2 linked regions of the Arabidopsis thaliana genome follow. The protein of the gene in region 2 interacts with the protein of the main gene of each other region in a pairwise test. Each region holds a gene or a part of one and is shown on either strand. Other genes may lie near its edges.

Evidence for each region. Proteins that work in one complex are often made in the same cells at the same time.
Region 1: the proteins of RABH1c (region 2) and AT4G00350 interact in a protein complementation assay, tested with the Arabidopsis thaliana proteins (one large-scale study listed by BioGRID).

The regions. Positions count from the first base shown.
Region 1 is NC_003075.7:149,844-154,678, reverse strand, and holds AT4G00350 (MATE efflux family protein), read right to left. Parts: upstream 2,767-4,835; 5' UTR 2,702-2,766; coding exon 2,273-2,701; intron 2,189-2,272; coding exon 1,563-2,188; intron 1,486-1,562; coding exon 1,429-1,485; intron 1,360-1,428; coding exon 1,002-1,359; intron 931-1,001; coding exon 844-930; intron 763-843; coding exon 691-762; 3' UTR 501-690; downstream 1-500. Other genes in the region: AT4G00342 (uncharacterized protein), read left to right, coding at 2,767-2,946; RLK4 (receptor-like protein kinase 4), read right to left, coding at 3,183-3,543, 3,626-4,835.
Region 2 is NC_003075.7:18,503,971-18,508,222, reverse strand, and holds RABH1c (RAB GTPase homolog H1C), read right to left. Parts: upstream 2,305-4,252; 5' UTR 2,112-2,304; coding exon 1,995-2,111; intron 1,646-1,994; coding exon 1,575-1,645; intron 1,490-1,574; coding exon 1,401-1,489; intron 1,321-1,400; coding exon 1,206-1,320; intron 1,113-1,205; coding exon 1,022-1,112; intron 926-1,021; coding exon 764-925; 3' UTR 520-763; downstream 1-519. Other genes in the region: AT4G39880 (Ribosomal protein L23/L15e family protein), read right to left, coding at 3,086-3,622; AT4G39870 (TLD-domain containing nucleolar protein), read right to left, coding at 3,948-4,034, 4,151-4,235. UniProt on the Arabidopsis thaliana protein: Protein transport. Regulator of membrane traffic from the Golgi apparatus towards the endoplasmic reticulum (ER).

The DNA.
Region 1 (4,835 bases), about 18 Mb from region 2:
GGGTAATGGGTAGACCGGTTTCATTTACTGGACATTCGGGTAAGCGAGTCGGATTCGGATAAAATCCAATCGGATACAGATTTTTCGGGTTAGAAGTTTAGGATCCAATAGGGTAAATCTAAAATGTCGGTTCAATTTCGGTTCGGGTCCAATCGAGTTTGGATATAGATTTTTAGACCCTTTTTTGGAATCGATATCCGAATTTTTGGGTAAATATCCAGATTTTTTGGGTAAATATCCAGATTTTCGGGTAAAATTTTGAGTTTCAGGTAAAATTTAGATTTTTGAATAAAATATTTGAGTATTTTCGGATTCGGGTTCGTTTTTTTCGGTAGAAGAATTTAAGACCTAATAGGATAAATCTTCGGGTTCGAGTTTGATTTCGGATCCAATTTTTTGGGTTGATTTCGATTCGGATAACCGATTCTGGATTTTTGTCCGGCCTAATTTATTCCTGACAATCGGCCGTAGTAGGTAAAAATAATGAAATGATTGAATAAGGTCGAATTAGTAGATTTAAATCATCATTTTGATAAGATTAAAAATTTACAAATGTATGATAAATTATATTTTGATGACATATACAATTTGGTATTACAAAAAAAATTGATATATACAATGAAAAATATATTGCTGTATAACATAAGATATAAAGTGAAGTGTATATATAATTTTTTTTCCCAAAATCATTTAAGTTGCTATTTTTTCTAATTTCTCATATCCAGCTCCCCATTGTTTCATTCTCTCCGAAGCTTGTTCCACCTAATAAATTAAGATAGTGAATCATTTTACTTCAATTTGTGTGAAAGATTTGATTATAAAACCTGAAATGAGTGGGGGTACCTCTTTGTTCCAATTGGTTATGTAGATCATGTACAAAAGTATGAGAGTCTGAAGACTAGTCCCACATATCATACCAATCCATATCCCCTGAAAAACCACATAAAGCAATTTCATCAACTTAAACCAAAATAATTAGACCGGAGGCTATGTGGCTTTACCTGTACGCCAAGGCTTGTTTTATAACCTAACAAAAACCCTAGAGGTAATCCAAAAGCGTAGTAACAAAACAAGTTTATATAAGCCACCGGTGCTTGCCATCCTCCTCCTACTGCAACTCCTGATATAACTGGTTGTAAACTGTTGAGAATCATCGTTATACCGAGCAGGTACGCAAGATCAGCTACCGCCTTTCTCATCTCTTCACTCTCCGTAAAAATCACAGCAAAGTCATCTCGTGTTATCAGAATTACAATTGCACACACTACTCCAATGACGAGAGACTCTATCACCGTTACGATCACGGAGTATTTCGCAGCTCGTGGATGTCCCGATCCTAGCTCATTCGACACCCTAACACTGAAAGAAACATATATATAAGTCTAACGCCTTCTTTTAGAAGACACAAAGATTGCTTTTGCTTTTTACCTTATAGCTGCATTGATTCCTATGAACAACATTCCTTCCCATCCATTAATGTTCATACTGAGAGAAAGAAAAGTGTTATCAGATATAGAAGAAAATGTAAATCTTTGAGTTTGTGAAGAGGTCTAACGGTTAACCAGATTGAGAGAGATCCAACGGCTATGACAGGGTCTTCAAGATGTCCAGTTAAGACAATGATCGTCATGAAGTACCAAATCTCTAGACAAAGCATAACCGCAGACGCAAACGACAGTTTCAAAAACGGCCAAACGTCTTGAAACGCTAACCAAGACAGCCCTTTCCAACCGTCTTTACACCACCCTACAACATAAACAACCTGCGCGATCGCGATTCCCCAAGCCGAGACATCAAATGCAGCCGCTGCACCGTTTAGCCCCCACTTGAAAACGTTTATAAAGAGGTAGAGGATGAAAATGTGAAGGGTCAAAGCGAAGAAACCGATCCATGCCATGATCCCTACTTTGCTCTGTGACTGGAGAAACTTCTGAGTCGGGAAGTTGATAGCGAGCGCAAACATTTGAGGGATGATTTGTGTAGTGAATTTGCCAGAGATCTCTGCGATTTCGGGTTCTTGGCCGAGTAAAATGAGAAGTGGAGTTGCGTAGATGTAGAGAGGAAGCAAGCAGACGGAAGTTCCGAGGAGGATAAGCCAAGAACGCTGCATATAAACACCTAACATATCCATTTGTCCCGCTCCAAACGCTTGTCCACATAACGTTTCCAACGCACTCGCCATTCCCAGCTGCAGTTTTTTTCTAGAAAGTTAGAGAAAACGCAAGAAACAGAGGAGGAAAAAAGCAGAGTAGAGGAAGGTTATTTTAATCACCAAGAAACCAAAGGAGAAATTAGAGACGACGGAGAGAGCGATGGCGACGGCAGAAAGCTCAAGATCGCCGATATGGCCAACGAAGATGCTTGTGAAGGAGTTAACACCGTAATTACAAAGAATGTTGAAAGCTATAGGTGCAGCTATTTCCCAAAGCTTAGACGTTTCAACCACACAAACAAGTTTAGCATCTCTAAAGCTTTGAATGGGAGGAAAATCAGCGTCTCCGGTGGTTTCACCGAGCAGAGTTGACGGCGCGTGGATAAGCTTGGTCGTCTCATGCTCTGTTTCGAAGACAGAGACTTTGACGACAAGCGGAGAGGATGGACCGCTATCGATGGCGTCGTCAGCTGCTAAGGAGATGGTTTGTTGTAATGGTCCGGCAGAGGATGAGGAGGATCTTCTCTCCTCTCGAACCGGGATCTCCATTTTCACCGGTTGTGGCAATATTTGTCTAAGTTTTTATATTTCTCTACTTGGGGAGGATTAGAGACATGAGGATTGAAAGCAGACAAGACAAGAGATTCTTTTTTATGTTTGTTCTTGTAATTTGTGTTTCTGGTTTGCCTAAGATTAAGGTTAGCCGTGGAGTAGAAGAAGAGAGAACATGGGTTTATTGTGACCGTTCATATAGTTTAAAGTATCGACATGGGTTTATTGATTCAATCACGTAATGATTCTCATACAATACATTCTGTAAGAATTTACATATATGCCATTAGAAGATTATCAAAGTGACAAGAACTTTCAAACTAAGAAGAAAGACATAATCCATGGTTTTAACTGTTAATGTCGATTAAGTCAAATATCATACAACCAACAAATACAGTTTAAACTAATTAAACCCTCTTAGAGAGCAACACTTAAAACATTTAAGGCTGGTTTTGACCAAATCACCTTACAAAATTGATCAAGGAGAAGGTCTACCAAAAGACGACCGTGAGCCAGGGCTAGACAAACCTGTATTGAGATCCGAACAGCCATGGCCTTCACTACAGCTTGTGCCGCTCACTCCTCGGTATGAATCGCCGGAGACAAGAGCTTGTATTAATTTAGGCGGTGGAGGAACCGTCACCTCCACAACTCCTTCAAGCATCTTCACTACCGTTCCCATTGCTGGCCTTATCTCTTCATTGTCTTGTATGCACCATATCGCCACCGTTGCCATCCTCGTCACCTCTTCAGTGTTATATTCTCCGTTGAGTCTAGAGTCAACCACAGAGTCCACATTGCCTTGTATGATCTCACGCGCTGCCCATGGCGGAAAGAACCTGAAAAGGGATTCATTGATTCAATGTATATGTTTTTTTCTCTCTTACAATTGATTCCAAGTAAAAGACATTCTCTAAATACCATTTCTCTGGTTCTGTCTCTTTCTCTCCCAGTGTATCGCTATTAACAATGACATTTCTTCTACCACCGATCAGCTCGAGCAATGTCATTCCAAAGCTATACACATCAGCTTTTGTCGTGATGGGCAAACCAGATATCCATTCGGGAGCCACGTAGCCCCATGTCCCTCTCATCGTGGCTAGAACTCTGCTGAAGTCACGTCCAAGGAGCTTAGCCAAGCCAAAATCAGACACTTTGGCGTTGTAATCACTGTCCAAAAGAATGTTCTCCGGTTTGATATCACAGTGTATAATACAGTCCCTGCATCCTTCATGCAAGTACGCGATCCCTTTGGCAGTACCTAACGCGATCCTGAAACGGGTCTCCCAGCTTAGCAATTTGGGGCTTGTTCTAGACAGATAGGAACTCAAGGATCCTTGTGGCATGTAATCATAGACAAGAAGCCTATGAAGATTCTCTGAACAGAAACCTCTAAGCCTAACGAGATTGACATGTTGAATGTTCCCAATGGTGCATACCTCTGCCCGGAACTCACTCTCCCCGCTTCCAGGTCTTTCTAAGCGTTTCACAGCCACGAATGTAGAAGAACCCGGTAATGTTCCCTTAAACACCGCCCCAAAACCGCCGTGTCCGACCTTATCCGAGAACCCATTGGTAGCTGATTGAAGCTCCTTGAAAGAAAATACCTTAAGATTCAACACAGCAAACCCATCTTCGTCTTGTTTCCTAGTCTTCTTCCTCTTTCGACTCCTCTTCAACAGAATCAATGGCACTAACAATGTAAACCCAAGAACTGAGATTGACCCAACAACGCTGCACAATATAATTATAGACTTAGAGATGTTTCCCTTTGAATTCCCTTTCTTTGGTTCTCTGATATACAATACATCTTCACTAACTCCAGTCCACGAGCTCGAATTCTTCAGATTATTCGGCGACTCGAGTAAAATTTTGCAGAGATTAGACTTCTCCTTATGATAAAAACCAACACAAGAAGAGTTTCCTAAGCAAGTTTTGGCGCAAGAGCTCTTGCTTACCTGCAACCGTGACATCTTCACATCACCATCGTAGCGTAGATCACCAACGGCTTCAAAAGTATCACTCTTTTCGCCGGAATCACCGTTTTCACGGCGGCATCCGTCGCTGTAATCATCAGATCTCCACGCGGCGTCGTTCCTAGGCCGGAAACCGCGGATGCAAGCACAGGGCT
Region 2 (4,252 bases):
ACTAACGAATGTTTGAAGGCTCAATAAAAAAGTAAAACAAGAGAAGAACAAATAAAGGATAACGTTTTTCGTTTTCCAAGAAGAGAAGAAACAACAAAACCTTCCCGCCGATAATCGTAGTGGCCAAAACAAACGCCAATGGAAGCCTTGTTAAGGAAGACAAGGTTTACGGAGTGAAATGGTTTGAAGGAAGTGTTTATTACTCTCCCAGTGATGGTAAATGGGGAAGAACGAATAGGCCACATCTTTTGAGTTATTGTGTAGTTGAGGAATTGTTGTTATACGGTACCGATATGAGCTTCCGGTGAGTGTTTTGGCAAGAGTCTGAGGAATCAGAATGGAAGATAGTTAAAGGTTTGGAGGCTCTAAGAATATCAGTCAAGTGAACAGTTTTGGTGTGAACATTGTTCTCTTCTGGCTTGAGCGTAATGATGATGATGAGAGATTGGATGTTTGGTGTGCCGAGATTTCGTTCGAAAGGTGAGATTTGGGGTACAATTGAGTGGAAGGAAGCTGTCACCACAGTTGATCCTTCTCCCTTTGGTTCATTTGGTGGTGATCAGAATAAGGTTTTGTATTCTGCTACCGTCAATGTCTAAAACAGATCAAATACAGAACAAGGCAAAAGATTCACATGTGTAAAAATAGTAATCCTTTTCTCTTTGATGTTTTATATTCTGTGTCAGTTAATAAGATGAAAACCACAAAACTAACGTGATCCCTTTTGTTTGCTTCACAAGTTTTGGAATTATGTATTTTTGAATCAACAAGAACAGCCTCCACCACCACCTGCTCCTCCTTGTTGCTCACCTTGTGATGAATTTGAAGTGGTCTTTAGATTCACATCAACCATGTCATCTGATTTTGTTGCCAATGAATATGAGTCTACCCCGGGTAAAGCTGCAGCAATCTTCCGGAACAAAGCCTGCAAATTGAAGAGATTTGGTGTGTTTAGAAATCAGACAACAAGAAACACTCAAATGAACATCACTCCATACTCTTTGTTGAAGTTTTGTCATACCTTAATGTTGAAGTTTTCTTTGGCACTGGTCTCAATGAACATCACTCCATACTCTTTACCCTTGTCTTCTCCTTCACTGATTGATACTTGCCTGTTTTTCATTATATCAAGATTGACATATATAAGACAAGAGAGAATTATATAGTCCATCCCATCCAATTCTTTGCTTAATGTTTGTATTTACCGTTTTTCAACAAGATCAGTTTTGTTTCCAACAAGAACGATGATAACATTGCTTTGACCTCTTTCTCTGTGAACATCCTCAATCCATTTCGAGGTATTCAGAAACGTTTGCCTATCTGCAACACAAAGTATTGATTGAACACATAAGAACACAAAAAAGAAGGTGAATCAAAGAGAGAAACAAAGGTGGACTTACTGGATACATCGTATACAACAATGGCAACAGAAGAATCTCTGATGTAACTTGGGATTAGACTCCTGAATCTTTCTTGTCCAGCAGTATCCCTTTCAATCAAAACTTGTTTTGTTATTGCTTTTGAAATTAACATGTTAGTTTTTAGGTAAAGAGCAAAAGTAACATTGTTCTCACCATAGCTGCAAACGAACTGTTCGATCTTCGAGGTACATTGTTTTCGATAGAAAATCGATTCCAATGGTAGGCTGCAGAGAGTCAGAGAGAACACAAATAAAGGCTTAATGACTAACTAAGAAAGCAAAGAAGCAACAGTGCTTAGCATCATCGATCTTGATCATAATAAGAAGAAGAGATTGATAAATCAACCAAAAAAACAGAGAGCAGAGTGATCAAACAAATGCATTGAAGAAAAACCAGAGTGATATCAGCGACGTAATCTAGGACCAATATGAGATGAAATCGTCTGAACAATCGTAATATAGGAAATAATGAATCAGATCAAACAATAAAAAAACGAAAACAAAAGAAACTTGTTGTCGCAGAGAAGAATTTAAATGAATAAACAAAACAAGTGAAAGGAATCTGTGTAAATACCTGGTACGTGGTGTCGAATTTGTCATACATGAAACGAGTGATGATGCTGGTTTTTCCGACAGATTGGTCTCCTAAGAACACCAGTTTAAACTTTGCCAAAGGTGAAACCGAAGCCATATGTTCCGTTCCGTTGGAAGAAGAAGGAAAAAAAGAAAAAGTGTGATTCAAAGATCAGAAGAATCAGAGTCTCGTCTTTCTTAGGTCTCGACGATGAAGAAGAAGGAGAGCACGACGACGATGACTCGGTCGCACACAAACTTGACAACCTTCACAAAATCGCCACGCGCCCAAATATATTCAACGATTTCCGCGGAGACTTTATATAAGAAGCGCGTCGATGCGGTTGGGTGTATCTGTGTTTAAAAAAAATAATATTTTTTAATGATGAATGTTTTCTAAAATTTCTATGATCAAAGTCTTCTTCATTAATCTTTTAAATCGTTATTTGATTAATTAAAACCTAAACCAAAAAAAGACCTTTAAGCCAAACAAATTTTTGTTAGTTTGTGAAGATACTAGGTGAGTAGTAGCCTAGTTGTAATCTGTAATGAATACCAAAATCTGAACTAACAATTATTTTAACAATTATTTAGTAAACACCAAGCTACTAGTCCACAAAGTGATGAGATTTTTGGGATGATCAGAGATGACTATATTTATTGGCTAATGTAGTGATTTGTCACAATTTTATCATACGTTTTGCATCTGCGTAATGTGATCGAACATTTGAACATAAGCCCCAAATCCACAAACAATAAGACTAATAAGAGGTTTCTCAAAACTTGAACAGACAAACAAAGCACCATCACCAGAGTTAATCCCCTTAAGCATTCTTATAGATTGCAATTAAGAAAAAAAGCTTTAGAACTCGGGAGCAGCAAATATCATATAGCTAATCAGAGATCACTAAGAGAAAGATTACAAACAATTGGAAACATCTTGATTCAGATTTATTAGCCAAATCTCAGAAACACTGAGAGCTTCAATGATTCAGATTCTCAATACACAAACCTCAAGTAATAGAAACAACAAAATCAATAATCCGATAGCTAAAGAAACACAAACCCCAGATCATAATCTGCTCATAAACCCTACTTACCAACAAATCTCATGTTGCTCCATGGAAACTTGGCCGTCCCCGCCGCCGCAGCACCACCTCTCGTCGGAGAGTTAGCCCTTTCACCACCTCGACGACCTTTACCTTTACCATAACCACCAATCTCCCTCTTCTCCTTACGATCAAGCCAATGACTCTTCTTATCATCTTCTTCCTCAACAAAGCTAGATCCTTTCACTTTACTCTTCCTATCTTCCTCGATATACTTCACCGGAAACAAATCCCTAGAAATCGACAATGGACTACGTAGCGTGACGTAAGCCTTCTTGTAATCAGCTTTCGCTATCAACAAACCACCACGCTTCTTCTTCTTCCCATCCATGTTTAAAGTATTCACCTTCTCCACATCGAATCCGTAGAGCGACTCCAGGACTCGCTTGATCTCGATCTTGGACGCGGAAGGAATCGTTTTCAACGCGAATTCGTGAATGTTGGTCAGCTTCGCAGGCATCAGAAGCTTAATCGGAAGATTCGCGAAATGAACCACTCGTCCTCCCAATCTACTCCCCATTTTCAAATCGGAGCTGAGCTTTTAGGTCAGAAATGAAAAGCAGTAGCAAGGGTTTTTCTTCTTTGATTCTTCCCCACTAAAATTAATCCCTCTTCACACACACATATGCTTTAATGGGCCTTAATGGGCCGAATGAGCCTAATAGGTGGTTTTATTTTGTTATTTCAAAATCATCATTACAAGTGAGAGAGAGTAACATATATGTGATTTTAGCCAAGTTACAAGACAACAAGATTTCTTTTACTACAGATTTATACAACAACAACAACAACAACAACAAAAAGACGAATCTCAGTTGAATTCATTTGGGTTTTCTTTATAATGATCATGACCATCTGCAAAGACCAGGCTCCATTGTTTTGCTGTGAGCTAGAATCTCATCATACTTTGAGCCATACACAAATCCCCATAGCTGCAACAATCAATCAACCAATGGTGTGTTTGTTTGCTTGTTTCAGTTAAAAGGTGTTGCAAAATATTGAAATATAAAGCTTTTATTTTTCAAGGAGAGGGATGAAATTTAACTACCTCCACTTCCTTAACATCAAAGTCCTGAGAGTCTGCGAGACAAGAGTTCCCATACGTCTCTGAGTAAGCGCTCGATCCGCTTAGCCTATAAGAACACAATGG